Linked DNA regions of Coturnix japonica. The protein of the gene in region 1 purifies or fractionates together with the protein of each later gene. This does not show direct contact. Links are inferred from orthologs where the notes say so. Each region holds a gene or a part of one and is shown on either strand. Other genes may lie near its edges.

Region 1 (5,674 bases):
TGCCCTAATGTGACAACATAGTTTTCATACAATTCACTGGAAAGAAAGAGCAAACTTGAGTATACTGCAGCTCCATAACACAGACAATGCTTTCCAATTAAGAAGCTGATTTTAATTTTTAAATCTTAGTTTATCACGGGAATAACAAGAAAATTAAGAACACACACTGTTCTGAATGCAACACAAGTTGTGATTTCACACCTTTCACAGCCTGTAACTTTTCCATGGAAATTCTTTCTCAGTTTAACATTTGCCACTAACATAAATGATTTACTTCATACTTATGTAACCTGCTAATGTTGTGGTCCTGTAATAGCAAAAAGGAGTTCTACAACATGGAGAAATTCTTGCACTCCCTTCTCTCTCTATAGCTGCATTATTGCTTGGCTGGTAAATATACTTTTCACACTCTGGCAAAGAAGTAGGAAAGACGACATTCCAGAGGAGCTGAATTATGCATGTGGCTCCAGCGATCCCAACACATCCACATAATCTATCTTTCCCTAATATTTAAAATCACAGAAAATCCAGTGCTCAACAAACATTCTGACAGATTTAATGCTGACCGCTAATTTACAACTAAAGAACCCAAACCACAGAATATGAGCCTCTCCAAACCTGGAATTTAATACATATTTTATTTTAAAGTGCCATCAATACTGTCTTAGCTTTGTCTGTGGTATGCTGTCCATATTGCAGAAAGAAACAACCTTACCTGCTCTCTCATCTCCTTTAATTTTTCCACTTTCTTGAGTTTTGTCATATATTCTTGGACTTCTTTCAGTCCCAAATCTGTGCAGAGACGAACTAAAAATCGGAGGCCTAATTGAAGAACAAACCATTGTGAGAAAAAGGCTTACAAGCAGCTCAAACTACAAGTGCACCCTACGCAAGCTGGGCATACTGAATGGAGGTACAGACCACTACAAACAGCAAGGAATACAAGGTGACTCCAGTCCAACATCACTAGAACATAACTGTATGTTTCCTCTTCAAAAAGTAGGTTTATCAAAGCCGAATGATACAATTTTATTTTAAAACACAGTAAAAACTCTTCCCATTTAAATTTAAAAGTGTAGGTTTGTTGGTGACAGCCTTGTAGTTTGGAATTAGTATGTCAGTGTGAGATGTAGGAGGACATTGTGGCAACCAGTAACAGACCCAGTTTCCTAAAGGGCTTCTTCATTTCAGCTTCAGTAAAACATTCTGCTCTTCAAAGCTGTTTCCTGTAAGTGCAGTTTGAAATTGTCTAAGAGACTACTTGACCTACTGTACTTAGGAACTGTCTATGTCCTTTCAGAAGGACAGACTGTAGTAAAAATTTTACTGGATCATTTTTTTGTATCTGGAAATTTACAGCAGAAGTTTCACCTAGTGGCGACTAGAAGTAAAAAGGTTTTAATCTCATGATGAAACAATGAACATAATTATAAAATGCAGCAAGTATGCAAGAAAATGAACTCAGCCAGTCAACTACAGTTAGTGCATTTTCATATTTCTTCTTCAGCATTATCCTAGTACTTCTTAAGTCACATTTTGGTGTTACCACAAACAAACAATAATCCAATACGGGGGCAGCAGCAGGAATAAAAATGTTAGTTCAGAACAATATCTGGGTATGGAAAACTACTTACATCATATGGATCACCAACAAACATATTTAAAGTAACAAAGTTTTCTTTGATGGTTGTACCACTCGGTGAAACAACTTACATTCAACATTCTCCGGGAATTTTTGGTGAATGACTTTGTATTTCTCTAGAGCTTTCTGGTAGTTACCTGTAAACAAAACATGTTTCCTACCAACATTACTACACATTAAAAAAAGAAAAATATATATATATATACATATATATACATCTGAAGAGGAATTTATACAGTTCAACACCACTTCTTCGGTTTTAATACATGATTTAATATTATAAGATCAAATTTGAGAAAACCAATCATTTACACGATTATGCGATGAAAGAATCTAGGAAGGTTAGGCTCTTTCCACTTTGCTTATTGCCATACAGTATTCCCAGTAAGAAACTGCACATAGACTGCCTGTTGTCTGTGCAATGCATATGCTACATGAATACCTGAAAAATTACACCTAGTGTTGAAAATGAATGGGAATTAAGCAACTTTAAAATCTAATGACTACATTAGATCTGACAGTATGATAATTACATTACAAAACTTTGAGCAAATAATTTATGTTGTTATACATTATATATATATATATATTATATATATATATATTCTATGATTCTATATCTTTATTTTAATCACTTAAGAGCACAAGTAACGTTTTATGTCTCACTCAGTAGAGGCATATTTCTCAGACTTAAAGGAGAAGTCACACTTTACTGCACACACACAGAAAATTTGTAACAAAATAATATGCAATAGAAATTTTAAATAAAATTTCGGACCAGTACTCACAGTACTCACAGGAGACAGAAAAATCAAAAGGAAAAAGAAATCAAAACATCCATCAAAACAAAACAATTTTTCAGCTAACTGCAAAAAACGCTGCCGAGCTTACCGCTTCTCCGATAGCAACTGGCAACCATCAGCTGCCACTTCACTTGTGTAGGTCTGCACAGAAAGAAGACAAAGTTGTGCACACGGTAAGCATATAATAAACAGGCAACATATTCTGTATAGCATTTGTAAAAACCTGCTATTAAACTCCTCTTAAACATTTCACCCCTGTATAGTCTCTTCCTAGGAAGCAGCTAACCTGGTCAGTTCACACACAGTATATTTGTGTGGGTCATCTTCTTGTGTTCAGGGCTCTAGTTTACTAGATGTAAGTTTATTTCCAATCAGTAACGATACTTATTCAGCAATTTATATCCCAACATTCATATTTATCAATTAACATACCTAGATTATTTTAATAACAAATAACCAAATACCTATGCAGTGTTATTTATTAATAACAGCATAATCCCACCATTTCTATATAAAAGACGGATGATAATTACAGATAACCAAGTAGAACTTCATGTGTCAGTTATTCAAAGCTACTTTACAAGGTCCTATACTCTGACTAAGCTTCTCCTGCCTCTTCTAGGGTACATGAGGCTTTACAAGCATCAGCTACTGAAGCACTGGTTGCTCTTCATGCTATCTTTGAGATTTGCACACATTTGTCTGCTGCACCAACTGGTTGCAGAATTGAAGAACATTGCATACTTTAGTATTTTACTGTACCTATAATGGCACATTTTTATATCCTCCCCTACATACAATATAATCTCAAGTCTAGTTACTTTAAATGAAAAGCTGGATGATCAGTAGAATAACACTAATTGCTTCCTACAGAAATAAGAGCTTGAAAACATTTTCATGAGGAGTGAAGGAGCCTCACACAGAACGGAAGAAAGCAGTCTTTGCATCTGAGGATCTGCATGCTGCCAATGCCACTTCCCCAAGTAGTGAGTCAGACTGACCGTTAAGGTCAGGAACGTGGTCTTGATTTGATTATTTAGAATAAGTTAATGTGATATCTCTCTTAAGAGTAATGCTCTTGTCTCACTTTTCTGACTTAGAATACAAAGCATAGCCTACAGACTCGCATCCTTAAGCACGTCATATTCGGCTAAAGGACAATTTCAGTAAGTTCAAATATCTATATCGAAATCAATTTGATTTGCTAACCTACATCCACTATCCACTGTTAATTCTGCATGACACACTTCTGCTTCCTTACGCCCTTATTTGCAATATTGTTCCTCTTATGGGAACAGAACTTAGATGAAAAAGGAAAAAGCAGCAAGAACATTTAAATATACATTTATCTAAACCATCAGTTTCTCAGTGTGTGATAAAAAGAAAGGGAGTATTTCATGTAAGGCCACAGAGAAGGAAGTCTTGGTGACTTAGTAGAAATGGTCCCCACTTCATCACTACGTTTAACGACAGAGGATAGAAAAAAGAAGTTCTAATAGCAAATACCATCTTGAGCCCTTACTTAACATTGAAATAACACAGTAAGAACAAAAACACCCTGTAAACAAACAGAAATTTGGGGAAAATTAAATGATGTTCCAAAATAGTTTACTCTGATACTTGCTTACAGTACAAAAATTATCCAATTAATTTATCTCTGAGTATAATTATGGATGTCTAATCTCAAAACTTTTAAAAAGATATAAAATAAAAATTACTTACAGGATAAGTGCTGCTCTTTCAAAGTACTCAATGGCTTTTTCACAAAACTGGGTGTCAATGCAATATGCTCCGAGCCATTCAATGACTTCAATGTTTGAAGGGAAATACCGGTACGACTGACAAAACAGAAAAGGTGAAAGAAACACAACTGTAGTGATAAACAACATCTTTATGTTACTTCTGGAATATCTGACTCAAGTGTTTAATACCCCAGATGCCAAAAATATGTTGTATGTGAATGGAAGCAGTGTACTATGCTAAGCAATCCTGAGGAGGAAAAAAAAAACCAGCATGCCAAGTCTTCTAATTACAGAATGCATTTCAGAAGTTACCTGAGATAAGTCTGTCGCACTTTCCATCCAGCCTTACTTAAAGTACTACAGGCTGCAACAGCTAAGATGTTTACTTAGATCAGGTCTACATGTGAACACATTACCTAAAATGATAAACAATGCTACCTAATACAATTTCACACTCAAATCTGTCTGATAGAAGACTGACTTAAAAGCTTTCTTTTCCAAGAAATGCATTTGTGTAAATAACATTTGCAGTTTCTTAGCAATCTCCATTGAAACAGGCACCAAAATTATAATCACGCACAATTCCACCAGTACTCAGAACTGCAAAACTGGTCATCCTCACTTTACATGTACATAAAAAGAACTGCTGGAGTGCAAAGTGGCTTCTTGTCTTATTCCCACTTTTGAAACCAAAGGATCTCTAGAAATCCCAGCCAGTACCACAGTTTGTAAAGTGAGAGGATGTCTAATTTTGGGCAACTGTGCATACATAATGTATAGCAATCAAACAAAGACATGTAGATTTATCTCCATATCCACCACACAGGTATATCTTCCAACTAATGCTGACAAGTCAAGCACCTTTAAAATCACATTTATTGTATCCCTTTTTAATCCTGAAACTGATAGGGGCCAACGTAAATAACAACCACTTGACAAAGAAAAGTTAGAGGTCATATACCAGGTGGAAACACAGACTGCACTTCCTTGGGACCTGACTACAAAAATCAGATTTTGTCAACTGCCTGCAACCCCCCACTCCTGGCAAAGGTCATTATTTCTTCTTTTGGATGACATTTTTAACAGTTGAAATGAATCAGTTGTTAACTTGACACAGAAAACTATGGCAATATTTTCTTTAATTATGAGAAAGCAACAGAAAGCAAATACCTCATAGTAATAATGAAAGGCTTGGGATTTGTCACCTTCATTGTCATATAATTTCCCTAGCTTTGAAAGTACATGTGGGTCAGTTGGTACTACACTGATCAACTGCATGAGCCACTCTATGGCTTGATTGGGATCTTCCATGACTTCATAACTGAGTTTTCTTCAGTTAAGGAACAGTGACGATGATTTTTTTAATTCACTCATATTTCCAACTAATTCATATAATATAATCCATACACTAGACAGATATACTAGTCACTGCAGTGTGGTGCATATCAATAGGGGTTTTTTGTTTATTTTCAACACAGGCTTTCCAT
Region 2 (6,404 bases), on another chromosome or scaffold:
ATCCTTCAGCTGCACAGATATAGATTATGAAGTTAATTAAAAAAACAACTGCAAAAACCCATGACTTAGAAATCCATTTAGAGCACTGCTATGCTTCTCAATCACAATGTGAAGCCAGGACTGAAGGAATGCAGTTGCTACCTAAAGAACATAGAAATATCTGACACTACATTCGCAGCATCTCTTTGGCCTCACCAGTTAAATGGCAAGCATGGATTTCTCACATGTAGTTCAAAATTACCACAGGAGCAGCAAAGGTTACTTCCAGGTCAGGAACAAGCCATAGATAACCAAGTTATGAGGTGGAGGCAGAGTGCTTCAGCACCAGCTTGCCACTGTTTGGGGCTACAGGTGTGAACACAGGACCCGACGTGTAGATCCTTACCACTCTAGAGAAGAGTCGGAGTGTTTCCAGGTCTTCCAGGATGTTGCTGTTTTTCGTGGTGATCAGCACCATGTAGAGCTTCTCCATCGGCTGATACACGTACCTCACGCTCTCTGTTTCCACAAAGGTGTGTTGCTTCCCAGTGTTCATCAGTTTGGGGAAAGCTGCCAGCAGCCCCTCGATGCGGGTTCGGGTCATCTCCACAAACTGCCGGGAGACGATGGCCTTCCCTGCCTTGGTGCAGACAGCTGCCGCCAACAGCACCTATAGGGACACAGACACAGCATTGAAAGCTCTCAGTCCTCCATTCAGGCTAATGCAACACCTTTTCCTATAGGGCTATGACAAAACCCCAGCAATGCTTTAGGCAAAAACTGACTTATCTGTTAGTTCAGCCCCAGCAGAAAAGTCACAATAAAGACCAGAACACTTTGAAATGTGACATCTCTTCCCAGTGCCACACTTAAACTAAGCCGGGTTAATAAAATATTGACCATTATATTAATTACAGCACGTGGATGGTTCTCCTGGGCATTTCACTGATGTTATCACACCAACAATAGAAAGGCATTAAGGTAACTGCCAATTCACCCTTTCTCATTCTCTCCGCCTCGACTTCGTCCTGAAATACTTCTCTCACAGATTAGTTTCTTAATTAACATAGTGAAGATAAAGCAGTTTCTAAAGGTAAGATCCTTTCACTCCCCAGCCAGTTTTAATCACAGTATCCTAACAATGAGAAGCACCAGAAGTTCTTCAGTGTCTGTACATTTCAAGCATGAACCCCAGCACGGCCAGGTGAGCAGCCAGCAACTGCTGTACATTGAGTGGCCATAGGAACCCTGTAGTCAGGGATATCTTGAAGAAAGCAACAGGCATAAGCCTCCATTTCCCAACTGCTCTTTGAAAGGGCTGTGAGTGCAGCACAGCACAGCACAGCACCGAATGGCACAGCTGATCTCAGCAGCACCTCGGCCTCTGTCACCAAGCAGCAGGTCCCGTTCGGGGACGGAAAGCTCACAGCTCCACGTCACCCACAGCCAACGGGACACAAGTGACCTCCACCCGAGCTGGCAGCTGAGGCAGCAAGAGACGAGGCCTGGTTACAGATGTCAGCCTTAACGCTGCAAGCAGCCTCCACGTTACACATCACGCAGCGCACAGCGGGCAGTGCCCCCCAACCGCCCTGCGGCAGCGCCCGGTAAGCGGAGCTGGAGGCTCCCACAGGCCGCGCCACGTCCGGGCCCGGAGCGCAGCGTCACCCGGCGGGGCAGCACGGCCTGGAGCGGCCCGGGTCCATCGCGGAGCTGCGGAGCGATCCGACAGTGCTCGGGGACGAGGCCAGAGAACGGCAGCGGAGCCGCCGAGCGATGAGCGGCCTGGCCAGGCCCCGCGAGCTCTCCGACCCCGGTCCGGCCGGCAGCGGCCCCACGAGCGGCGGCTGAGCTCTGGGCACAGCCTTACCATGGCGGCGGCTCATGGCCGGGCACACCCTTACCATGGCGGCGGCGCTCGGCTCGGCGCTCGCTCCCTCGCGGCTCCGCGTCCCCTCGGGCAGCCCCACAAGATGGCGGCGCCGAGCCACGTCCCCAGCCGGAAGCGGCGCCGCGCACGACGCGAGGGGCGGGGCGGGGCGGGAGGACCCGGAGCGCGGCCCTGGGGGCGGCCCGCGTCAGTACCGGCCCCGGCCGGCAGGGGGCGACACCCACACGCGGCTGCGGGGCCGGGCCGCGGGCGCCGCTCTAGCCGGGAGAGGGAGAGCGAGACGGGGTCGCCATGGCGACGGAAGGCGGCGTCATGGCGGAGCGGCGGCCGGCCGAGGGGAGCGGGGACGGGCCGGGCCGCGCCATCGCCTCCCCGCGACCCTCCGCACAGCCTCGGCCCGTGGAGAACCAGCCGTACGACGAGAGCCTGGAGCTGCCGGACACCGAGGAGGCGGCGGGGAGCGAGAACCGGCCGCAGGGATCCCGCCGGCCGGGGCCGATCTGGTCGGGAGGAGGCGGCACGGGAGCGCGGCCCAGCGGGGCGGGAGAGCGCGGCAACGACCGGGAGGGAGGAGGAGGCAGCAGCAGCAGCAAGGTACGGGGGGAGAGGGGCGGTACGGCACGGGACGGTACGGCATGGTATGGTACGGTATGGTACGGTACGGTACGGTATGGCACGGTATGGTACGGTACGGTACGGTATGGTACGGTATGGTACGGTATGGTGCGGTATGGTACGGTATGGTACGGTATGGTACGGTATGGTGCGGTATGGTACGGTATGGTACGGTATGGCATGGTATGGTACAATACGGTATGATACGGAACGGTACTGCACGGTACGGTACGGTATGGCTCGGTACAGTACGGTACGATACGGTACGGTACGGTACAGTATGGCACGGTACGGTACAGCACGGTATGGTATGATACGGTACGATACAGTACAGTACGGTACGGCACGGCACGGTACGGTACAGTAAGTAAGGCCGCGTCCCTCCTGCCCTGAAGGAAACAGTGGCCAGGCTGGGACCCTCCACCGCCAGCGAGGACGACGATGATGACGATGATGATGATGATGATGACGATGATGAGGATTCCTCCGAGAGCGACTCTGAGGACTCGGAGGAGCGCGGGGCTTCACTGGAGGGGTGAGCAGCGGAGGGAGCCGGGAACCCGTGGCTTAAAAGGGTTGAACAGAGTTGTGCACGGACAGGAAGCCTCTTACAGTGAGAGTGTCCTGCTTCTGCTTTGGGGCACAGCTGGATCCATGTTCGTGCCTTTGTTCTTGTACAAAAACTGATAGGAAGTAATGTCTGCAAGAATTGCTTTTCCTCTCTTCAGTGACTACAACCTCGCAAACTATGACTACCTGCCGGTATCTCCTGAAATTAAAGAACTCTTTGAATACATAAGGAGGTGAGTTGAAGGAGCTTTCGCCTGCCCTGGGTTCTCCTTTGTCTCAAGGTCTTTGTCTCTGGCAGGAAATGTCAATTGCCCACTATGCAATCCTGTTGTTTTTCTCTCTCAAGATACACTCCGAAAACAATACAGATTGAGCACAAACTGCAGCCTTTTATTCCAGACTTCATTCCTGCTGTTGGAGACATTGATGCCTTCCTAAAGGTACAGTGTTTTCAGATATCCCCATACCTGCTGACACACAGGGTGAAACAGAAGGTGGTTTAGATATGAGCCTGGCAGACTGCAGCCACACTGACCTGGTGGTAGCGAGGTGCCCTTGCCCTGTGCTGCAGATACTGCTGTAGACACCTAGGAGATCACAAATAGCAACACTATGACCTGGCTGGTCACTTTGGTAACATCCCACATAGCACATATGTAATTTGGTGCAAGGGCTGCCTGTTTCTTTGTCCAACACCTTATGCATTTCAGGTACCGCTGTGTTAACAACTCGTATTTTCTGCTCTTTCAAAGCATCACGCTTACAAATTTCTTCTGAATTGAGTCTGAATTTCTAACAACAGGGAGAAGCTGTACAGAATAGTTCCAGCATCCCCTGCTACTCCCATAGAGGATTCCTTCTGTGTTTTACCTGCAGGTCCCACGCCCAGATGGCAAGCCTGATAACCTCGGTCTGCTGGTCTTAGATGAGCCATCAACAAAGCAGTCAGATCCCACAGTACTCTCTCTTTGGCTAACGGAGAATTCCAAACAGCACAACATTACAGTGAGTCATGGGGAGAGAGAAAACATTTACTGCACCCAGGCTAGAATGAAGACATTGCACTTTACTCTTTGTGGGACTATAGCAACACAACACAACTGATAACTTGGCTTTAAAAGCAGAAAAATAACCCTTTTTGACCTATAGCTTTAAACTGAAATGTATCTAAGCCCTGCCTCAGGCAAGTCTCAGTACAGACTTAGGAAAACCACCACAAAGTGCTTCCAGGTTTCTATTTTTGTTTCAGCAGCAGATAAAAGTGAAAAGTGTGGAGAATGCAGAGAAGAACCCCAAAGCCATTGACAACTGGATTGAAAACATCAGTGAACTGCACCGCTGCAAACCTCCTGCCACTGTCCACTACAGCCGGTGAGTCATTATGTCAGCAGAACATCAGGTCAGTGGGTGGCAAAGTCCAGGAGCACTGAGCAGGATGATCTCAGTGTCTCTGAGAGGAATAAGACGTGCTGAGTTTCAGGCCAGTTGTTCTAGCGTGTTTCTTTAGCCTTAGTGCTAAGACTGTCTGTCCCATTCACAGCAATGGCAGTAGGAAGCCATTTCAGCTTCTTGCCTGCAATCCTAATGTTTCTGTTTTTCTTTCTTCCTTTACAGGCCCATGCCTGACATAGAGACCCTCATGCAGGAGTGGTCACCAGAATTTGAGGAGCTCTTGGGAAAGGTATGGCATCCAAGTGTCAGGCACAGCATTACAAATTAAAAATGTTCAGGGCTCAGCATTAAAAATGATCCCACTTGAAATCTAGATTTCTCTTCCTCTTTGACCAGTTTGCTTGCACCCTGTTCAGTTCAGATTTGTTCTTCACTGAACATTTTGTTCTGATCAGACAATGGGAGCAGCCTAAAGTCTGAATGCCTGGCTGCTGCCCAGGTAGCCCCTGTTCTCAGTTCTGGTTTCGTGCATGTTCTCAGGCCTTTGCTGTATGAGAGCAAAACTGACAACTTCTTTTCCAGGTGGGCCTCCCAACTGCAGAAATGAATTGTGACCTGGCTGAATACGTTGACATGATATGTGGTAAGCAGGGAAGATCCCTCTTTTCCCCTTACTTACAGATTATCTGATTGTCCCTATCCCTAGCACAGAAATTAGCAACAAAAGGAAATGCTCAGCTTTGAGAGACAGTGAGGTTTCTCAAGCTGGTCCAAAGAGGATGTTTCAACTAACTGTTATCTCATTGCTATTCATCTTTCATGGGCTTGGGTTCTTTCTGCTCTGCTCAGCACGCTGATGATAGTGAGCAGTCAACTCTTCAAAGAGCTTAGGTAGGAAAAACCAAACAGCTCAATCCTTGTACATATACTTGATCCTTTTGGACATTCAGGACAGTCCAACTCCAGTCTTGCATACTGTTCACAGCTGAAGACACAAATGTACTGCTGGCCTGTCACTGTTATTAAAAAAAAAGGAGATTTGTAGGTACAGATTCAGACCTAAGTAGTCAAGTCCATTCTTTGTCGCCTTCAGTAGGAAGTGGACTCTTGTGGCAAAGATGCGTGCAGTCATAGATGAGCAAAGGGCCAAGTCATTGGAGGCAGTGAGAAGTTCAGGGCTGACCTACAGTACTCCATACAGAGGAGAGTAGTCCTGTACTCTTCTGCTTTTCTTTGTAGCCATTCTGGACATCCCTGTATACAAGAGTTGGATCCAGCCTCTGCACGTCCTTTTCACACTCTACTCGGAGTTCAAGAACTCCCAGGTAAGCAAGCCCAGGCAGACACAGGTCACTCAGCTGGAAGCATTACAAAAGACATCCTATCCTTAAATTTGGCCTTGTTGTGCTCTTTGTGTGTGAAGAGCTAGTAAGCAGGAAGCTATCATAAAAAGTGTCCACAGAACATTTTCTAAGGTCCTCATTTCCCTTGTATCACAAGGGAATTGATATTGCAGTATTACACAAGGAGCCTCTGACTTACTGCAGGCCTGGCATTGTTTAGCAAACCAACGTGAGTCCAGATGCTTTTTCCCACTAAAGTCATGGTGACTGTGCTGAGCATAAACAGAACATGCACAAAGGGAGGTTTGCTGCTCAGCACACAGCTCATATGGTGCTGAAGTGTATTGGATTTACAGGTACACATGTACTACCTTCAAGTAGTCTCATCTTTACTCTAATGCATTCTTTCTCCTGCAGCATTTCAAGCCTCTGGCTGAAGGGAAGAAGGCTAGGAGCCCTCCATCCAACACACTTCCACAGTCAGCGGAAGCAGAAGTATTAAGCTTAACTTGAAGCTTCACCTTAAAACCTCATCTCTCAGATCAACGTCTGCTACTGGACATAGATATCTGACTAAAGCAACCTGTGAAGCAACACACAGGATTTCTAAAGCC
Region 3 (5,848 bases), on another chromosome or scaffold:
AAGGACCTCTCATTTCATAGCACATTTTGATGTCAGGAGTGCATTGCAATATATGACACAGTACATCTCTACCCAACAGCTAAACTGCACTGCTAAGTACCTCTCTCGTTTGTTCCAGACGGATGGGCCTTCAAAAACAACGTTGTTATTAAAAATCACAGAAGCCTCGAGGATAGAAAAACTGCAGCACAGTTTCTTCAGCAGAAGAATCCCTTATGTCCAGTGGTTTTAGACACAATGGAAAACCTGAGCAGCTCAAAATACGCAGCGCTGCCAGAAAGACTGTATATACTTCAAGCAGGGAATGTTATCTACAAGGTAAAAACTATCAACCATAGCAAGCACAACATATCGAGATCCTTAACTGTTAAAATAAGAATGTCTTACATGTTATTCAACAGTCAGTACTTCACTCCATTTCATAGCTAGTCGTTTCACAATTCACTGTAACCACAGGGAAACAAGGACTTGTGGCAAAACCAGCCTGGGCCTTCACAATGTACATATTTGATGTACACCTCAGTCCTGCTCAAATATTTATCCTGTGGCTTATTAGAAAACCTAGCTACATCTAAATGCAAGATCCAGGCACACTCCCCTGCTCCAGGAGCCAGACATGGGCCCTGTCCCAGTTACACAGCAGGGTGTGACTTGTGCACACACCATCTCCTGTGCAACGGCTGCCGAGCAAAGGAAACCCACCCACCGCTCTGATTTAACCACTGTGCTCTAAAGGCTTCTGCTCTGTATATTTGAGCTTCACTGTATAATTTTATTGCCTTTGCAGGGAGGAGTGGGGCCTTGGAATTACCACCCCCAGGAAATACGCACCGTCTTGGAAAAACTGAAATAGAAAGAGGACATCAGAGTGAAGACTATATGGATACAGAAGGTCAAGGGATAAAGCTTTCACAGACCTGAGAGTTAAAAAAAAACAAAACAAAACACTAAAATCTCAAAATCCAAGAAACAACTAGAAAGAGAACAACGCATGTGCATTTAGAGAGCATCCGTATCGTGGTTCACCATTCATGTGTCTGGAGATGTTCAGCTCTGTTGTCAGTCAGCTGTTATGACTGGACACCAACATCTACATTCTTTAAGAATACGGTGCAGGTTCAACCTTCGTGGTGGTGACATTTGCAAGAGCCAATTTCAGGCAAAACAACTGATTTCACATCATTAAGTTTCTCTGTCTCTCTCGCATACAAACCATGTTCCTAAACGTTCAGTTTCTCTCACCTCAGAAGGCTTCTGAATGACACAATCTCTGGACATTTGTTTCTATAATATTTGTTATGACAGTCACAGCATAAAGCACTGACAGCTGTGACCTGATTTCAGAAAATATTTTTAGAAACAAAGGATTGATCTGCCGTTACTCGAACAAATAAACAAACAAACCTCTCAGAGCAGCACAGCTCTCGCTTGGTTTCTGTTCCCCTCTGGTTATTTGCAAGCATTAGTAGCTTACATTCATCCTATTAAACAGTTTATTTTGAGTTAATGAGCAAATTTCCAGTATAAGAACTTCTGAAGAGCTTCTTTGACAGTAAGAAGTAATACCTCTCATTTAAGTATTTCACACCTTTTCTACTCAGAGTGTAAGGGAAACATCTCACAGGAAACTGAGCTTTAATTCATGTATTAACAAAGTCTGACCTAAACACAGTTTGTAATAAATATTTCTTATGATAGAGATACGAAAATATAATACCAAAAAGAAGAGGTACAAATTTAAGCCAGACTTAAGTGTCTTCTGCTGTGCCCTCTGCCATCACCCTGTGCACCGACACAAAATGATCGAAGGCGGATTTGATGATGAATCGCAAATAAGTGGCCTGAAAATCAGGAAGCTGTAAAGAAAAGGAGAAATAACGTTAGCTCATTCTTGGTAGTAACGTAACTATCAAACTACTTACAGAAGCTCATGACAAAGATAGAGATGTTTGTTTCCAAATGAGAGGTAAGTTCAGTTCTTTTAGTAACTTGAGGTGCCATTTCACACCATCATCAACAGAGAAGCAGCAGCAAAGGGCAATACATCTAATGTCAGCTTGGCAATAATCGTGTCTTTCTCATAGCTTCCACCCAGTTAGTTTAGACATCCCACCCCATGACGGTGTATCCCGTGTATACTCACAGGAAATTCTTCCATTTGAAGCTGTCCTTCCGTGTGCTGCAAATCTAGAAAACATGGGTTTGTTTTCAGCAAATAATAAGGAACAGGGTGCAGTGCTGGGAGAAATTCACCAGGTTGAAGGGCCTGTAACCCTCATGCAGCATTCTATGTCTGCAAACAGCAATGTAGCCCAAGTGCCACCGCTTCATGCTCAGAGCTTTACCTTTTTCAACGCACTCTTTAAAGTCTACTGGGTCTTTAGATACGCTTCTTTCAATCCTCAAGCTCCGCACTAAAATACAGATGCATTTAAAGTATCAGTATAAATGCTGAGGTTTACGGGATCTTTATGTTTGTTGCATCATGTTTCATCTACAAAGTACCTTATAATTAACGCCTGCTCTAATGTAGGGGATAGGAAGTGTTTCAGAGACGTGGGGATGTGACACTGAGGGACATGGGCAGTGGGTCATGGAGGGGGAAACTGAGAGGTCTTCTCCAGCCTTAATGGTTCTGTGATGTATTAATGCATTAATGTGTATTAAATGTGACTATTCAGAACTAAGACGGTGCTGTGAGTGTGTACATATAAGCAGAGATATGTGCCCCAAACAACGTGAGCCATGTGCTGCTATGGGAGCCCTTACCCAGGTAGCACTGGATGCCCACTTTGCTGATGGTCACACGCTTTGGAAATCCAATGATGAACTCCTGCGGGAACATCCCTGTTGTCGTCCAGAACGTGTCGGAACTTCTGTGGAGAAAACAGCACAAAAGCACCCGCTGCGGCTCATTGCTTACGACCAATAAACAGAATAAAGAGTGGAAAGCCGCTCTATGTGGGGTGCTGTAACCGAACGGCCGTGTGCAGCGGGGCTGCTGTGCTGCAGGGCCGGATTCAGCTCATGGTTATGAGCCCTGTGAGCAGCATCCCACGATCCCGGCCCGCAGCCCTCACCCGTCCGCCACGTTCCGGGCCGGGTGCTCCGTGTCGCTGGATGTGGCCATGACGAGGGCAGCTCCCGCCGCGCTCAGACACCAGTCAGCGGCCCGCATCCTCACCATGGAGCTGGGAAAGCAAAGGACGGAACCCAACAGGAGGCCGGCAACCGAACGGCGCCGCCCCCCGCTGCCCGCCCCCGGCTCGGCCCCGCGATGGGCGGCGGGAGCGGGCGGAGCGGCCCGGCCGGGTGACGGCGTGTCGGGGCGGCCCCGGGGCAGGTAACGGGGGGTCGGGATCCCGCTCAGCTCCCCCCGCAGCCCGGCCCGGCTCCTGCTCGCTCTCGGGCCCCTTCCCCAGCCCCCGCCCCCGGCAGCTTTACCCACCTCTGGCTTCTTTTCGCAGTGCTGGACGTGGGGAATGTCGTACTGGCTCCACTCGGCTGCCGGGCCGATCTACGTGCGTGAACGTGGGGAGCTGCGCGTGGTGAGCCCGGGTGCGGGCGGCATCCAGAACGGGGCCCGCACAGCGCGGCCTGTCCGCCTGTTCCCCGCTGGGTTCTCCGTGGAGCTGCGTCTGAACGGGGAGGACGACAGGGCCAGGAGGCCGAGGACCGAGCACTTCATCTTCACCTACACCAAGGAGGGCAACCTGCGCTACTCGGCCAAGTCCCTGTTCAGCCTGGTGCTGGCCTACATCTCCGACAACGTTGACCACATCGACTCGCTGGTGGGTTTCCCGGAGCAGATCGCAGAGAAGCTCTTTTCGGCCGCAGAAGCGAGGCAGAAATTCACAGAACCCGTGACGGGACTGCGAGCCCTGCAGAAGTTCACCGAGGCGTATGGCAGCTTGGTGCTGTGCTCCTTGTGTCTGCGGAACAGGTAGGAGCACCCAGTGACACATCAGCATCTGTGCTGCTGTGCTTCAGGTTCTCTTGTTTTCTCTCAATCTCAAACATCCACAGTTTCTTTTCCTACTAGAGTGCCTCACCAAGCTGAAAACTGGGCCTGCTTTTAAAGCTTTGCTCCTGCTGAAGTCTTGGGCAGCGATATAATGAGTCTGCCTTCCATCTATACATTCAGAAAGGGCTGCTTTATTCAGTTTAAACTCAAAGGACAGGCACGTTTATCTGCAGTGCCAAGCACAGCAGGAATGTTTGAGCAGAGGTCAATTACCTTGTTTTATCCCTTCAAGGTACTCCCTCTTTTAGTACAGGTACCTTTTATGAGCTCCATTCAGAAATGGAATTACCTCTGGCATATTTTATCATTAAAACAAGCTCGGTTAAATGTCAAATCTTTGAAATCCAGGAAGTAAGACGCTAAGACATGTTTTATGAGCCTCATTTCTAAGAGCCCACTCATAGTAAAACTCGCATTACCTATCAAGAACTGTCTTGTATTCCAACTGCCTTCCACCCATCTGAGCTGCGTGGCAGAGGGATGTGGTGGAGTGCTTCAGTATGGGCACCAGCACAGAGAAAATGCTCTTATTCACATAGGCAAAAAGGTTCCAGGGATTATAGTAAGCACCCCTAATTTCACCGCTGAGAATGTTCTCCTCAGGGATTGCTTTGCCATGGGGGCGAAGAGGTAAATTCAGGAGATATTAGTGAGTTGAGGGATTGTCTTGCCATAAACACAGGGGAGATGGAGGTAGGTGATATTACAGCGCATTCCCATCTCTAAATCTCCTGCTGAATAGTTCCGGCACAGATGCTTGCGTGGCTGCAGAGTGAATCGGATCAGAGAACCAACACAGCCAAAGAAAATAACCCGCTGTGTAACTGCTGCCTGGGGTGCAGCCACAGCTCTGGTTGGAGTCCAGCGAGCAATGGTCTGTAAATAAGCCCCTATATATAATATAGGGCCCAATTATATATAGCGATGCTTGCAAGTCGAAGTCTTAATCATTAGTCTGGTACTCTGTCAAAGCAAGTGTGCTATCCGTTGGAGGAGAAGCTGGGAGCTCAGGTGCTTTGTAGGCAGAACAGTGTTTGAAAGGCAGTTACAACAGCTGGCTGATCTCTGTCAACTTCTGCATAGATATGTGAGAAATAACTGCATTATGCTTGTATTTGAGAGCATGGGACCTTTATTATCCTCCTCAACAGCGATAGCTTCTTTTGTTCCTTACAGATACCTGGTTATCTCTGAAAAGCTGGAAGAAATCAAGTCTTTCCGGGAGCTGACCTGTTTGGATCTTTCCTGTTGTAAACTTGGAGATGACCATGAACTTTTGGAACACCTCACTAAAGAGGCTCTGTCGAGGTACTCATTGCTTCACATGTACCAAGAAAGGACGTTTGCTTTTGCTGCTACTAAACAGTTCAAAGAATCGGGCTGTGACTTTGAAGGAAAATGTCACAGGCAGCAGCGTTTAAGGCTGAAGATTTGGGTTGTTGATAAAACCTGCACCTGAGGTAAACAAAATACAGAACTTACTGTACACGAAGCACGTGATCCAAAGGACACGCTGAATCTCAAAGGTCCTCCCAGTGTGCAAGTTAACTTACTGCTCGTGTATAAATCAGCTTCTTGCAGTATCAGTTGTCAGCTAATATAAATGCACCCTGAGCATTTGGAACAGCTTCACATGGTTGTTTCCTTCATTAAGGGAGAACTTTTATCAGCCCAATTTTTAACTGTTGTGCCAGATGGAGATTCCTGCAAGCACCAGGCTGAATATTTCATTAATTGGCAGTTTAGTATTGCAACATTTACTTTCTAAAGATTAGAAAGTAGCCGACTTGGGAAATCAGAAGGCAGGAAGCTGCTGATTGAGGA
Region 4 (5,674 bases), on another chromosome or scaffold:
AGGAAAGCGCTGTTCTATTTATGGTTCATTTTCACTCCGTTTACATTCCAGTGCCTGCTGAAAAATACATTCATGTTCTAAAATGATGTCTAGAAACGTTTGGGGTTTTTTTGTTGTTGTTTTTTCTTTTAAATCCCTATATTGAACTTCGTTGTAATTCATTTAAATGCAGATGGTCTGCAACCTCTCACACAAGGTCAGAAATGTGTATAGTCACTGTGAGAGGGAGAATCTCTCCACCTTCTGTGCCCACCATTAGCAAGCAAAGCAGGGACAGCAGAGCAAGTGGTAATGCTCGCTCACATTCTCCTCACCATACCTGGAATTACATTGCTGGACTCACCCTAAATTCCAGCACTTGGATTCAGTGGCTTGTCTGTGTGAATATTGACACTGTGGATGTTCTTGTCACAAGTGTTTGAGCTGGAGAGTTTTTTGCTTAACATTTGTGAATAAACTGAGACCCTCCCCTTCCCCGCAGAGCCATAAAAGGCAGTGCCTGCTGCTTGACCCGTGTTTCCTCTCAGCTGCCTGCCCCTGCTGCCTTTCATACTAATGAATATTCACATCATCCCTGAGCTTTTTTCTCACACCTACTTTTCTTTTTACACTTGTGCTTCGTTTTGATATTGTCTGCTTTTGTTAGAGAAATTTTCTTCAGTCCACTTCCCAATCAAGAAATTGCCTCAGGTGATACTGGATGATATTTGCCTGTTTGGATGGGGCTTTGGGCAGCCTGATCTGGTGAGAGGTGTCTCCCCTATGGAGGCTGGAACAAAATGGTCTTTAAGGTCCCTTCCACCCCTCAGGATCCTGTAATGATTACCCACTAAGGATTGCTTCCCTAGATGCCACCTCTGCAACAGAACTAACCAGAAATTAACCTGAAAGGCAGAGACCTAACAGGGCAGACAACTTGGGAAATTAACTTATCATCTGCTTGATGAATCATCCGAAGCTTAATAGTGAAACGTAGAATGATTACTTCCTAACCAAGTTTTGTCTTTGCTGGGCTGCTCAGTCACGGTTTTGAACTGTTTTCTGAATGGAACAGTTTTGTGAGGCATTTTGGCATATTGTAGCAAAGACTGTACAAGAACCACAGTAATAACATGACAGCTTACACAGATCTCAAGCAACAATCTGTCAGGTCTCTGAAACACAAAGGCAGAAATCTGAGAGGAGGTCTCACATCAAAGATCAATACTGCTATGAATTTTGAAGCCTATGCAATAAAGCCAACTGCAGGAACACTCACTGATGCAGGTGGTGAAGCAGAGAGGTACAGGGCAGAGATGATTCCCCCTCTGCACTGAACTAAAACTGGGATTCTCTAGAAACTCCCTCATACAGTATTACCAGATAAAGACAAAGGGCGGTGAAAAACCTCTAACTTTGATGTAACTGTCGTGTCAATTGAATGGAGGGTAAAGATAAAAATTACCGTGATGGCACAGAAACCACAAGGAGCAAAACAAAACCAATTAAGATATGTATATTCAGTCCTCCATTTCTGGACTAGTGACGGTAACAGCTACTGCATCTGTAAGAACAGCAGATTTGCAAGGAGCTGCCAGGATCTGATGGCAGTGTATGTTGCTCCCTTTGAGAGGTGGAATATCTCCTACAAACTGGAGTTTCAAGGCAAACCTGGCAGAGGCATCGTGCCTGGTAGAGCCATGCTTCCCGTGGGACCTAACTGAAGCATGGCTTCTCTGAGCTTGTGCCAACAGGGGTTGCAAGTTAAAGCCACTATCTGGGGCCTATAATCTCCAGCAGGAGGGGAAAATCTTCTGGTATGTCTGAGAGAACTCATAGGTTTACAGCAGCATATACTGGAATTCAAGATGCTTATTTTTAGATTATTATAGTGTTTCTAAATTTATCAGGTGAACTCCTCCAGTTCAAATGCCAGTGAGAAAATTCCTAACTTCAATCTCAGATTCTGAATATCCTTCAGCTTAATACAAAAGAAACACACTAATATGGTTACCGAATTGCCTTTCGTCTCTCCTGTGGATCTGGGGAGACGTACGTCTTCATTTCTTCTTTAACACGTTGCAGCTGTATTTCTAGATTCTATAACGAAAGATACAAATGGTTTAAGAAATACATAATTCCTATTCCATTTCATAGAATGATTTAGTCCCTCCCATGACCTTACCTTTTTCATGCAGTTCACATAGTGGTAGTTGCTTTCTTCCCGAGTGCACTCCTCAAGAAGTCCCTTCACTTCCTGTAGTACAAGAATGAGATTTCAACGGGTGTTCTCACTGAAGATCCACAACTCACGTTCCATTTTGCCATATAAACAATGTGAACCCATAATATGAAAGGGCATAACTCTGACTTGTTCATTTCTTATGTGTTTTTAGAATTTTGGCTATAAAAAAAAAAACAGTTCTTCTGGAAGGTCTATTCAAGCAGGTTTGTCTGTGGAGTTCTTTATTTTGCTTGGATTAAGCCACACAGAGGTACATTCAGTGCAGGGAAAGAGTACCTATACATCCACCTACTCTTTAAATGTACACTGTTTTTAATTTGAAATATATTCCTTATGCTGGCAAGCCCTTAAAAAACCAAATCCAGACAAAGTTCATAGGAGATAATCCACAAATTCTTGTATTTCATATGTATTAATGCTGCTCCCAGATATCAGAATATTGAACTGGTTTAGGTACCTCCCTTCCTAAAAGTGCTGCAGATCAAGCAATAAATGAACTACACACAGGCAAGCTCCTAGACATATCTATATTGCAAGGTGTTTTTTTTTCCAAAAGGTTTTATTTTTGTCCATAATTCTCAAGAATGCATGATGAATCACATTTAATGAAGAACCCTTGCTGTCAGTTTCAATGTATTAATTAGCCATGGGATTAGTTTTGCTAAATTAAAGAGTATGCTAAACGTGTGTGAAGATTTGTCTTGATAAATTAATCCTTAACATTGTATTGAGAAATTCTTTTCTAACAGATACTTAGGTCAGCAAGGTTTCTGGCAGAGGCCTCTTCTTTTACTATTGCTAATCAGTACTGGACTTCAGTAAATGGGCTGATGTAGCACTGAGTTCATTTGCTGCTGTTCAGAACAGGAAGCGTGTGGGACCACAGCTAGTCCACAGCAGCTTCTGGCATGGTTTGCATAGCTGTGGATCACCATTGACTCACTGCCACCTGAAGTGAACCTACAGCTTCCATATCCAGAGGGAAGGCAGGGAAAGTACTGAACCATAATGAGAAACGCATTGCAAAGCATTTACTAACCTGCATGACCAAGCCACCATCTTACCTGTTCCAGTGTGGAGCGATTGCTCTCTAACCCTGCTGCACAGCTGTCATACTGGATTTTTTTCTCATCACATTCTTGAGTTAATTCCTTATGTGAAAAGGGCAGAAGGGTACATAAATGAAATCTCCAATTGACTGACATGTGACATTCAAGCAGGTTCTCGTTGGTCTCACACATCAACCTCAGCTACTGGCACGCTCCCTGACACTTATGTAAACCCAGCAGGCAGGTGGGTACTGTTACACACACGCAGTAAGGCTGCATAGTGGTTAACAAGCTGTATACACCACAACACAGCATGCAAATTTCCTCTTTGCAGCCACAGCTTTAACGTGGTAGATCATCAGGGCAGCACTTGCAAGAAAAATGTAAAATAATGATGAAATTGGAGATTAAGAAGGGATTAATATACTTGCTACCTATGAAAAAACAGCTTTGGTTTTTAGCTGTATGCAACAAATGGCTTAGCTGGATTTCATTTACTGACACTTTAAATAGAACTATTAAAAATAAGTTTTCTGGAAATTTAGTTGATAAAGGGATAGCTCAATTTACTTCTGTGTCAGTGAGCCAACTTACAGCAGCTGTGGACCTGAATGACTTCTTCAGCTGTCTGTGAAATTTCGAAAACAGATGGATAAATCTGTCATTCCAATGGACTAATATAGGACTTAGATCAATGCACACAACCATTGGGATGAAATTTACTTCTGATCTATTTTAAAAAAGAGAGAGTTATTTGAGATCACCAGTGCTGAGAAGCACAAAAAGCTTTGAAACTGAATTGAAAATTAACTTTGCTGTGATTTTGAACCACAATTTTTATCATTTATCACTTTAGGCCTTCCTTGTTTTGATTCTTAATTACTGTAAGGGACACAATCTCAGTGTGATTTAGCTTTTAGCTATTCCAGTCTTTTATTTGTTGCTTGTTGAAAATCATTCCTTGCTTATTCTATTTCCAGCTTTCCTCCAGAGTTGGTTACATCCTTACACAGCTCAACAGAGCTCTGTGAGTTGTGCTCATTTGTGAATTTGATCTTAATTTTGAATAATGAGAGGAAGGTTTAATGCATTAAAATAAACCTACTTTGAGACCGAAAAAAAATATGACAAAACAAAACATGCAATTAAATAAAGTTGATGAGACACTGGAGGTTTGCAGTACTTGAAGCATTTAAGTGTCTGGTAAATGAAAACGAACTTAAACTAACCATATTCTGACTCATTTTTGCACTGTCTCAGCTCCTACGCATTGTATATCCTCAACCACAAAGGTGCAAATAACTCAAGGGCAATGCATATTGATATATGCACCTAAAATCTACAGGTACAATGAACTCCTGCTCTAACTGTAGCACTTGACTGCATGGAGAAATGTGCAGAGCAAAACAGAGGACTGCCCCCCAACGTCTGCCTGCTGCCTACCCTATTCCATCCATAAGCACTGTTCAAAGTATTCTGAAGTGTTTCTACCAACCTGGCACTTTTGACGCAGCTGTCTCAGTTCTTTGATGACAGGAGCCAGGCTTGACTTCTTCTCTGCCACCATAGCATTTAATTTCTTTACCTGAAAGAGGGACAAAATGTTACACACTGATATTATGGTATTAATACATCTAATTTATTAGGATTGTGAAAAGAGTTGAAAACAAAATTATGGAGAGGAAAAAAAAGTGTGACAAAAGAAGACTGAACTGTATATAACTTAAATGCAGAACTAATTGAGAAAGGGAAAGAGCCTGTGTTGCACTGAGATCATTACCACAAACCAGACCAGTTCTGTTCCCAGCGTTTGACAGAACACCACAGACAAGACCAGCAGACCCATCTGCCAGATGCCATTTGGCTTCAGGAGAGGGGAAAACAAAGGAACTGCACAGAGTTGGAGTGGCAGAAGAGATCTTTGAATAAACCAACCAAAATAAGCCCTGCATAGGTGAAATAAAGTTTGAACTTGCTAAAACAGAATCACTTCAAAATATTTATACTGAAAATTCAAATTCTTCCCATCTTTCTATTTGAGATTCATCCTGTTTTGATTCTACCACTTTATTTTTAAAGTGCCCTAATGATTTTAAAGAATGCTATTTGGCTTTTGGCTCCTTTATAATATTTTGCTTCTATGGCTACATGGTAAGTTAAAACACTACAGATCTAAGGACAGCTGAAAATTAAGCTAAAGAGAAGAAATAACATTTAGTTCTTCAGACAAATGAACTATTTTTAAATGAATACTTAACCCTGGTGATTTACGTTTTATAAAATGATGCTGTAAAAGAGTCAAGCAATTAATCTAGTCAAATAGCAGGCAAAAAGAGTCAAAAATAGACAAAAAAATAGACAAAGCTTGTAATCTGTACTGTTTGAAAGTATCTATTTTTCT
Region 5 (6,422 bases), about 82 Mb from region 1:
TCTCCAGAGAAGGAGACTCCACCCCCTCCCTGGGCAGCCTGTTCCAGTGCTCCGTTACCCTCACTGTAAAGAAGTTCTTCTGCACATTTGTGCGGAACTTCCTATGCATGTACTTTCATCCCATTTCTAGTCCTTAAGACTGCACAAAATTGTTTTTCCCCCATAAAACTTTGAAAGGTCTTGGAGGAGAGGTCCCTGAAGACTGGAGGACAATCAGTGTCACTTCAGTCTTCAAACAGGGCAAGGAGGATCTTGGCAACTACAGGCTAGTCAGCCTCACCTCTGACCCAGTGAAAGTGACCAAACAACTTGTTCTGGATGCTACCTCCAAGCAATTGGAAGAGAAGGTTATGAGGAGCAGTCCACATGGATTCACCAAGGACAAATCATGCTTGACCAACCTGTTACCCTTCCATGATGTCATGAATGTCATAACCAGCTGGGTACACAGGGAGTGAGCTGTGGATATTGTATATGTTGACTTCAGCAGGGTGTTTGACACTGTATTCCACAACAATAAGGGATACATAAGGATAAATACAACTTTGTAAGGAAGCTTAGAAAGTATGGGATAACTGAGTGAACAGTGAGGTAGACTGAGAATTGTCTGACTAGTAGAGCTCACGTGGTTGAGTTCAGCGGCACAGAGTTTAGGTGTTAACCACTCTATCTGAAATTTTCCTACAAAGAAGCTGACAATGAAGGAGAAAGAAGGGACGCAGGAAAGAAGAGTAACAGAACTGCCAGTAGATTCTTAAAGAAAATGAACAGCAAGTAAAAAACTTCACAGCTGATAAATACTAATATTATATAAAATGGATAGTCAAACATACCACAACATCCTCTTCCAGTTTATTAAGTGTTAATTCCATATCATCTTCTGTTATTTCTTCTTCTTCTAGCTCATCTGTTGGGTACACTGGCCTGAAATAAGTTCAAAAAGAGTACTGACAAAAATAAACAGGAAATACTTCAGTGAGCTGCTCCCAAGCAAACAAAGGATTTCAGGTTAAGTATGAATAATGTGGAACATGAACAGACAGTGGTTGTACCACACATTTAAACAAATTAAATTATTGTCAACCTTCAAAGTCTTTGGTTACCTCAGACTGTCTTAAAAGTGAGGACAAGTAATCAGGCCAAGCAATAAATTGTATTCATGCTGCTAAGACATCTAGGGATTAAGTTTTCATTCATCTTCTCCTTTGGTCTAACTTCTAAAACTTCAAGTGCAAGTCTCCACAAACTCATTTGTAGCCTATTTTGGAATTTGTGTACTAAATGTTGGTAGCAATAAGATACTTTAAAAGTAGAAATTACTTTGCCATACAATTTAAAAACACACCAGAGGGAGGGGATGAAATCAAGAGCAATTTTAAACAAATTGCCATACACTTGAAATCGTTTGCCATCTGAACTCTGTGAAGATTTCTTTTGGATTCAATACATAACGTTATAGTAGTCTATTTGTAATAGGATCACATGTTGTGTGAGCTTCCAGCTGAGGAGCTGGATTTAGCTACTGATTGATGAGACCAAAACAGACAGATAAGGAAACATTTCAACTCAAATGTTAGATTAACAAGCAGTTACTCGCAAAAAAAGAGACCAAATAGAGGCTATTGGTCAAATCTTAATTAATTAATTTAATCTACTGACAGCCCAAACTCACTCTTGCTGGCAAAAGACTAAGATGCATGAAGTGGTATTAGGAATCACCTTGTTCCATTGCTTCAAGCCTAACTTAATTTTGCAGCTCATGAAACGTCAAGTAAAACATTTCTGGACAATATTATATTTTGTGTGCCTCCCTTTATAACTGCCATTTCTATTCGTTTGTTGAAAAATATTGTGTATATGAGGATTCTTCCAAGTGTACTATACCTTTTCCAGCTAAAGCCACTGTATTTCAAGGCTTCTTCGGCTAAACAATCAAGAACATAACAGGCTTGCTCTCCATAACCCGCCTTTAATTTTGAGGGAGGAAAATCCACAGGCCTTCCCTAAAACAAAAAGATATGATGCTGTTTACTGATGGCTATAAATCGATTTCATTTCAAAGCAGTAACCAGATTTTTTTTTTAACTAAAACCCAAGCGTCCATCATGCCAAAAGATTTTACCAATGCTATTTCACATTCTTCTCCACTGGAGCTCCAGTCAGGCAACAGGATTGGAAAACAAAACAACTCAAGGGACAGATGCAGTGCAGAAATCCTAAACATGGTAAGTGATGTTTAGTGAGCAGAAGAATCAAACTGTAAGGGAACTAGATGGTTAAGAACAAAAGTGCCATCCTGGCAAGGTAAGATCAGCTACAGAGGAACCTGGGTACTGAGATTAAACCTATGCTTTTCCTTTTTCTTTTAATCACTGCCTTGTTTGTTGCAGATGTCTCTCCAGAGAACACAAACACAACTTAAAATATTTCCTTTGCACTTAATTCCATTTTTGAACTTGGCATGAGCAGAATGTGAGTACATATTGTGTAAGCTTCTAAGGTAAACTGTGTAAATTATGCCACTATAAATGAACAGCACTTGTAACACTACAAGAAGCAAATCAAGATTAAATCTTGATTTAATCCATTTTACAGACTGTGGAACAAAACTAAATATAATATTCTATGGCCATTTTTGTAGCGTCAAAAAACAAAGTAGTACATACAGACAGTATAAATATCTAATAACTTCTAATTAACATTGTTCAAACGCACAGAGAGGAAAAGCCTGTCCAGTCCTTGGGAAGATAATCAGATAGGACAGGAAACATGTTATTCCTGATATTTATGAAGGTCACGTCCGTGCCTGAAATGCACTTGAAAAAACAGCATGTTCAGCACTTACAAATGATCGCAGTTCCGAGAGTATCTTTGATATTATTGCATTGGGGTCATCATATTCTTGAGGCTGTTCGAAGTGATGCCCAGCTTTAGTGATCAGCCAAGCGGCGAGAGTGCAGAACACGAAGAACTGCTCACCAGGATTAGTGGGCAGTGCAAAATAGTGCCTGTTTAAGAAAGGGGAAATGGTAAGCAATGGTGTTTTGAGCTACTGAGGTAATTACAGAATCACAGAATTATCAAGGTTGGAAAAGACCTAGAAGATCATCTAGTCCAACCATTACCAATACTTCCAGGCTAAATCATATTCCTCAGCACCACATCCAAGCGTTTCTTGAACACTTCCATGGTCGGTGACTCCACCACCTCCCTGGGCAGTGCATTCCAATGCCTGACAACTCTTTCCGAGAAGTAATACTTACTAATTACTTCCTAATTCCTAATTACAGCACAATGAGTGAGCACAGGCTAGGAAAACAGACTCTTAAACAAACTTTCCCCACACTCCCCAGCTACCAGATGGGCAAGAGGTTGGTGTACCTACACTCGTGCACAGCCTGGACCAGGAGCTTCTAAATTCTTCCACTCACTCCCACCTACTGTGCGATCTATACAAACAGCACTATTTGGGATCAAACTAAATAGAATAAGGTGTTCTGCTGCCACACCTAACGCGCCCTGAAGGGCACTTCCACCCCCCCTAGCGACCCCACAACCTCCCCATCCCGCTGGGAGCGCTCGAGGGGCACCTGGAGAGCGGCCGCACGTTGTGTCGCCTCAGCACCTCCTCCTCGTAGCTCAGCAGCTTCAGCTTGTCCAGCAGCTCCTCCATCAGCACGAAAGCGGTGTAGGCCGCACCGGGACCCCGCTCCACCACAGCGCCGTCCTCATCGCGCTCCGCCATCTTGGAACCACACGCCACAGCCCGTAACCGAAGCAACCGGCTCTACCAATCACCGTCTGCCTCTTCCTCCATGCCACCAATGGCGGCTCAGCGCACTCAGGTCAACGGCGAATCAGCGCTCGGAAACTCTCCGCCCATCCCACAGGGTTGGCAGGAGCTGGATTGGCTGCTGCTGTGAGAGAAAGCGCAGGGATTGGTGCTCCTCGCTCTGAGTGTATGTACTGATATACAGTACCAGAGAGCGCAGTGGGGCAGAGGACTTGTAGCCATGGGAGTGCTTTGGAAAGGGAAAGGGCACAGCCCCGAAGAAAAGTTATATAAGCCTGTTAAGCTGTACCTTCGCTCCCTGCCTCCAAGAGGAGCTCCGGGTGCTTTGCTGTTCGTGAACTCTGAAGAGGTAAAACTAAATAGTGCTCAGAGCAACACTCTGGCATGAAAGGGTGAAAGCTGGGGTGTAGAAGCAAAATGTGTGAGGTAAAATGTGACGTTTCAGGTCTGCTTCTTAAGAAAGGTTCCATTGGGAGTATTTCTCACTGGCTGAAGTTGTGTTTGGAGTCTGCGTTTGGTACATTGGCATGCAGTTGGCATTTAAGGCATGTTCTATTGGTGAGCATTAATGCTATTTAATATATTGTCTTAATAATCTTATTTTCCCCTACAGGAACAGGTTCCTGCAAGCCAAAAGGTTGGACGTGCATGGTAGGTGATCTTTATGGCTGGCTCCAAGCCTTTCTGTGCTTACTGCTGATACGGACTTTTTGTGCGTGTGATTCTTCCTTAGTAAAACATGATGTGTTCAGGCATTTCTAGCTTTCTTAAGGCTGCACGTGCTTGGAATGTGCCATTATGAAGTTACTATGAAGTTACCTTAAAAAGCAAAGAAACAATCCTTTTCCTAAGAACTAATAACTTTTGTCTGACAAGACAGGGAATGTTGTAATGTGTGACCACTCCCACATGCTGCTAAGAAGTAAGTATGCTAGGTGAACCCTTTGGCCAGGGTACAGGTAAATTGGAAACAAAATGTCACATTCCAACAAGGTGACAAAGCCTTTTGCTGTTTGTTTCATATGGTGGTCAAAGCAAATGCTGGAAAACCTGATGCATACAGTTTTCCAGTATCTAACTTGTTTTCTCCTTGCGTTGGCAACTGCTGCTAGTTAGTCACTGTAGCTAAAGGTACAAATAAATTAATATATTGAGGTTGTTTTACTCTTGCATAATCTCTTCTTCAGGTTTAAGAATTTGGTGCCCCTCTGGCCCCCTCCACAAAAAGTGGTAATACATAAAATCACTCTTGCTTTGCGGAAGAAGCTACATGCAAAATCCTTGGGATGTAAGATTCACACGCACCATAAATACAATTGCACACACCAGTCAAAACTCTTTGTCAGTATTGGTGTAGGATAGAAGAACTGACCAGCAATCCCAGCCAAACCTGTGCCTTGTCTAAGTTAGAGTGTGTGTAGGTCTCCTTTCTGGAGGGACAGAGGAGTAGGGGAAGCCCTTTAGGCTCTCTGTAAACTATATGGGTCATGAGATAATTTCTTTACCATGCTCAGCTGTATTTTGAAGTAATGCACCTGGATGGAGGAAGAGCGTGGTCTGTCAGTTACAGGAAAGTTCTTGTGTTGTTATACAGGTGAGTTTTCTCTGTTGTCATTTGACCAACAAACCTAAAAAGCTGATGGGGGAGCTTCATTCTTGTCTGTGTTCCTACCCCAGACTTCCATATTGCGTATTTGTAGAAGTTCACTTGATCAAAAGGGCTTCAGCTGAACATTCTTTATACCTGCGGTGTTTGGACTATCAGGCAAACTCCCCACTTCAGAAAAACAAATACTGAAGGAGTCTATTTCAGGGAATGGAAAAACTGGTTTGTCTCCTTTCAGAAAAGGCCCTTGGCTGTTTTTCCCCTGTGTTCTACTCATTAATTTTGAAGATCAGCAGCAAGCGTTAACACTTCAAAAACAGACTGAAAATGGATGGCTTGGCAATAAGAAGGCCTAAATGTTTATAAAATGTATAGCGTACTTTGTAACATTAATGCCAAGAAACGTGTCAAAACCTATTGCAGAAAGATATGGTAGTTGATAAACTGTATAAAGAAAACAATGCAGCTGGAGAGACTTATTTGCATTGAAACAGTTTTGTGTTGCTTTTTTTTCCCCTCCTTTTTTGTTGTCAGTTTGAAGTGAATCTACTATGAATCAAGGAAGATATGAAGGGACAGAAAATACCATATCTCCTTCTCCATTTACTTTCTCTTTGTGCTATGCTTTGGGGTAGGTTAAAGTTCTTTTTTTTAAAGAAAAATAAGAATGACGGCTGTTACTAATTTTTTATGTGAGGAATTATTCAAACATTGTTAATGGCTAAGGTGGAGTAAAGCACTCCTGATGCTGAAGAAGACTGGAACATTGTGACTCAGATGGCCTTGGCCTTTAAGCACAGAGACCATTACTTTCCTGCAGTTCTGCCACATGACTTGGCTGGGGCATTTACACATGGAACCATTTTCAGTACTAACTGATAACCAGTGCCTGCTTGACTGGTGCCCCAAGTCAGGCACTGGTTATCAGTTAGAAATGAAAATGGTTCCATGTGCTATGAACTTTGTGCTGAGATGGCTGGGGAAAGGTCCCCCAAATTGCTCTGCCGGGGTTGCCATATATGT

The links.
Region 2: the proteins of IFT88 (region 1) and IFT46 purify together in Homo sapiens (affinity purification with mass spectrometry; 3 studies listed by BioGRID and IntAct, with this or other methods). This does not show direct contact. The link is inferred for Coturnix japonica from reciprocal best matches to the Homo sapiens genes IFT88 and IFT46.
Region 3: the proteins of IFT88 (region 1) and HSPB11 purify together in Homo sapiens (affinity purification with mass spectrometry; 3 studies listed by BioGRID and IntAct, with this or other methods). This does not show direct contact. The link is inferred for Coturnix japonica from reciprocal best matches to the Homo sapiens genes IFT88 and IFT25.
Region 4: the proteins of IFT88 (region 1) and IFT81 fractionate together in Homo sapiens (co-fractionation; 3 studies listed by BioGRID and IntAct, with this or other methods). This does not show direct contact. The link is inferred for Coturnix japonica from reciprocal best matches to the Homo sapiens genes IFT88 and IFT81.
Region 5: the proteins of IFT88 (region 1) and IFT57 purify together in Homo sapiens (affinity purification with mass spectrometry; 3 studies listed by BioGRID and IntAct, counting the BioPlex papers as one, with this or other methods). This does not show direct contact. The link is inferred for Coturnix japonica from reciprocal best matches to the Homo sapiens genes IFT88 and IFT57.

The regions. Positions count from the first base shown.
Region 1 is NC_029516.1:159,980,165-159,985,838, forward strand, and holds part of IFT88 (intraflagellar transport protein 88 homolog), read right to left. Parts: intron 5,509-5,674; coding exon 5,358-5,508; intron 4,284-5,357; coding exon 4,168-4,283; intron 2,587-4,167; coding exon 2,534-2,586; intron 1,780-2,533; coding exon 1,714-1,779; intron 823-1,713; coding exon 716-822; intron 1-715. UniProt on the Homo sapiens protein: Positively regulates primary cilium biogenesis. Also involved in autophagy since it is required for trafficking of ATG16L and the expansion of the autophagic compartment.
Region 2 is NC_029539.1:4,768,594-4,774,997, forward strand, and holds the start of IFT46 (intraflagellar transport protein 46 homolog), read left to right. Parts: upstream 1-2,061; 5' UTR 2,062-2,161; coding exon 2,162-2,464; intron 2,465-2,880; coding exon 2,881-3,020; intron 3,021-3,213; coding exon 3,214-3,288; intron 3,289-3,401; coding exon 3,402-3,495; intron 3,496-3,931; coding exon 3,932-4,060; intron 4,061-4,304; coding exon 4,305-4,426; intron 4,427-4,669; coding exon 4,670-4,736; intron 4,737-5,029; coding exon 5,030-5,090; intron 5,091-5,686; coding exon 5,687-5,772; intron 5,773-6,207; coding exon 6,208-6,303; 3' UTR 6,304-6,404. Other genes in the region: ARCN1 (coatomer subunit delta), read right to left, coding at 386-649, 1,850-1,852. UniProt on the Homo sapiens protein: Forms part of a complex involved in intraflagellar transport (IFT), the bi-directional movement of particles required for the assembly, maintenance and functioning of primary cilia. May play a role in chondrocyte maturation and skeletogenesis.
Region 3 is NC_029523.1:22,425,775-22,431,622, forward strand, and holds HSPB11 (intraflagellar transport protein 25 homolog), read right to left. Parts: upstream 3,483-5,848; 5' UTR 3,449-3,482; intron 3,344-3,448; exon of another isoform or gene 3,287-3,343; intron 3,192-3,286; 5' UTR 3,188-3,191; coding exon 3,081-3,187; intron 2,877-3,080; coding exon 2,770-2,876; intron 2,415-2,769; coding exon 2,346-2,414; intron 2,188-2,345; coding exon 2,144-2,187; intron 1,857-2,143; coding exon 1,749-1,856; 3' UTR 1,606-1,748; downstream 1-1,605. Other genes in the region: LRRC42 (leucine-rich repeat-containing protein 42), read left to right, coding at 3,483-3,943, 5,201-5,332. UniProt on the Homo sapiens protein: Component of the IFT complex B required for sonic hedgehog/SHH signaling.
Region 4 is NC_029530.1:4,604,059-4,609,732, forward strand, and holds part of IFT81 (intraflagellar transport protein 81 homolog), read right to left. Parts: intron 4,859-5,674; coding exon 4,769-4,858; intron 3,376-4,768; coding exon 3,289-3,375; intron 2,237-3,288; coding exon 2,165-2,236; intron 2,080-2,164; coding exon 1,994-2,079; intron 1-1,993. UniProt on the Homo sapiens protein: Component of the intraflagellar transport (IFT) complex B: together with IFT74, forms a tubulin-binding module that specifically mediates transport of tubulin within the cilium. Binds tubulin via its CH (calponin-homology)-like region.
Region 5 is NC_029516.1:78,425,428-78,431,849, forward strand, and holds the start of IFT57 (intraflagellar transport protein 57 homolog), read right to left. Parts: upstream 3,803-6,422; 5' UTR 3,746-3,802; coding exon 3,591-3,745; intron 3,009-3,590; coding exon 2,846-3,008; intron 2,004-2,845; coding exon 1,885-2,003; intron 925-1,884; coding exon 834-924; intron 1-833. Other genes in the region: HHLA2 (HERV-H LTR-associating protein 2), read left to right, coding at 5,967-6,030. UniProt on the Homo sapiens protein: Required for the formation of cilia. Plays an indirect role in sonic hedgehog signaling, cilia being required for all activity of the hedgehog pathway.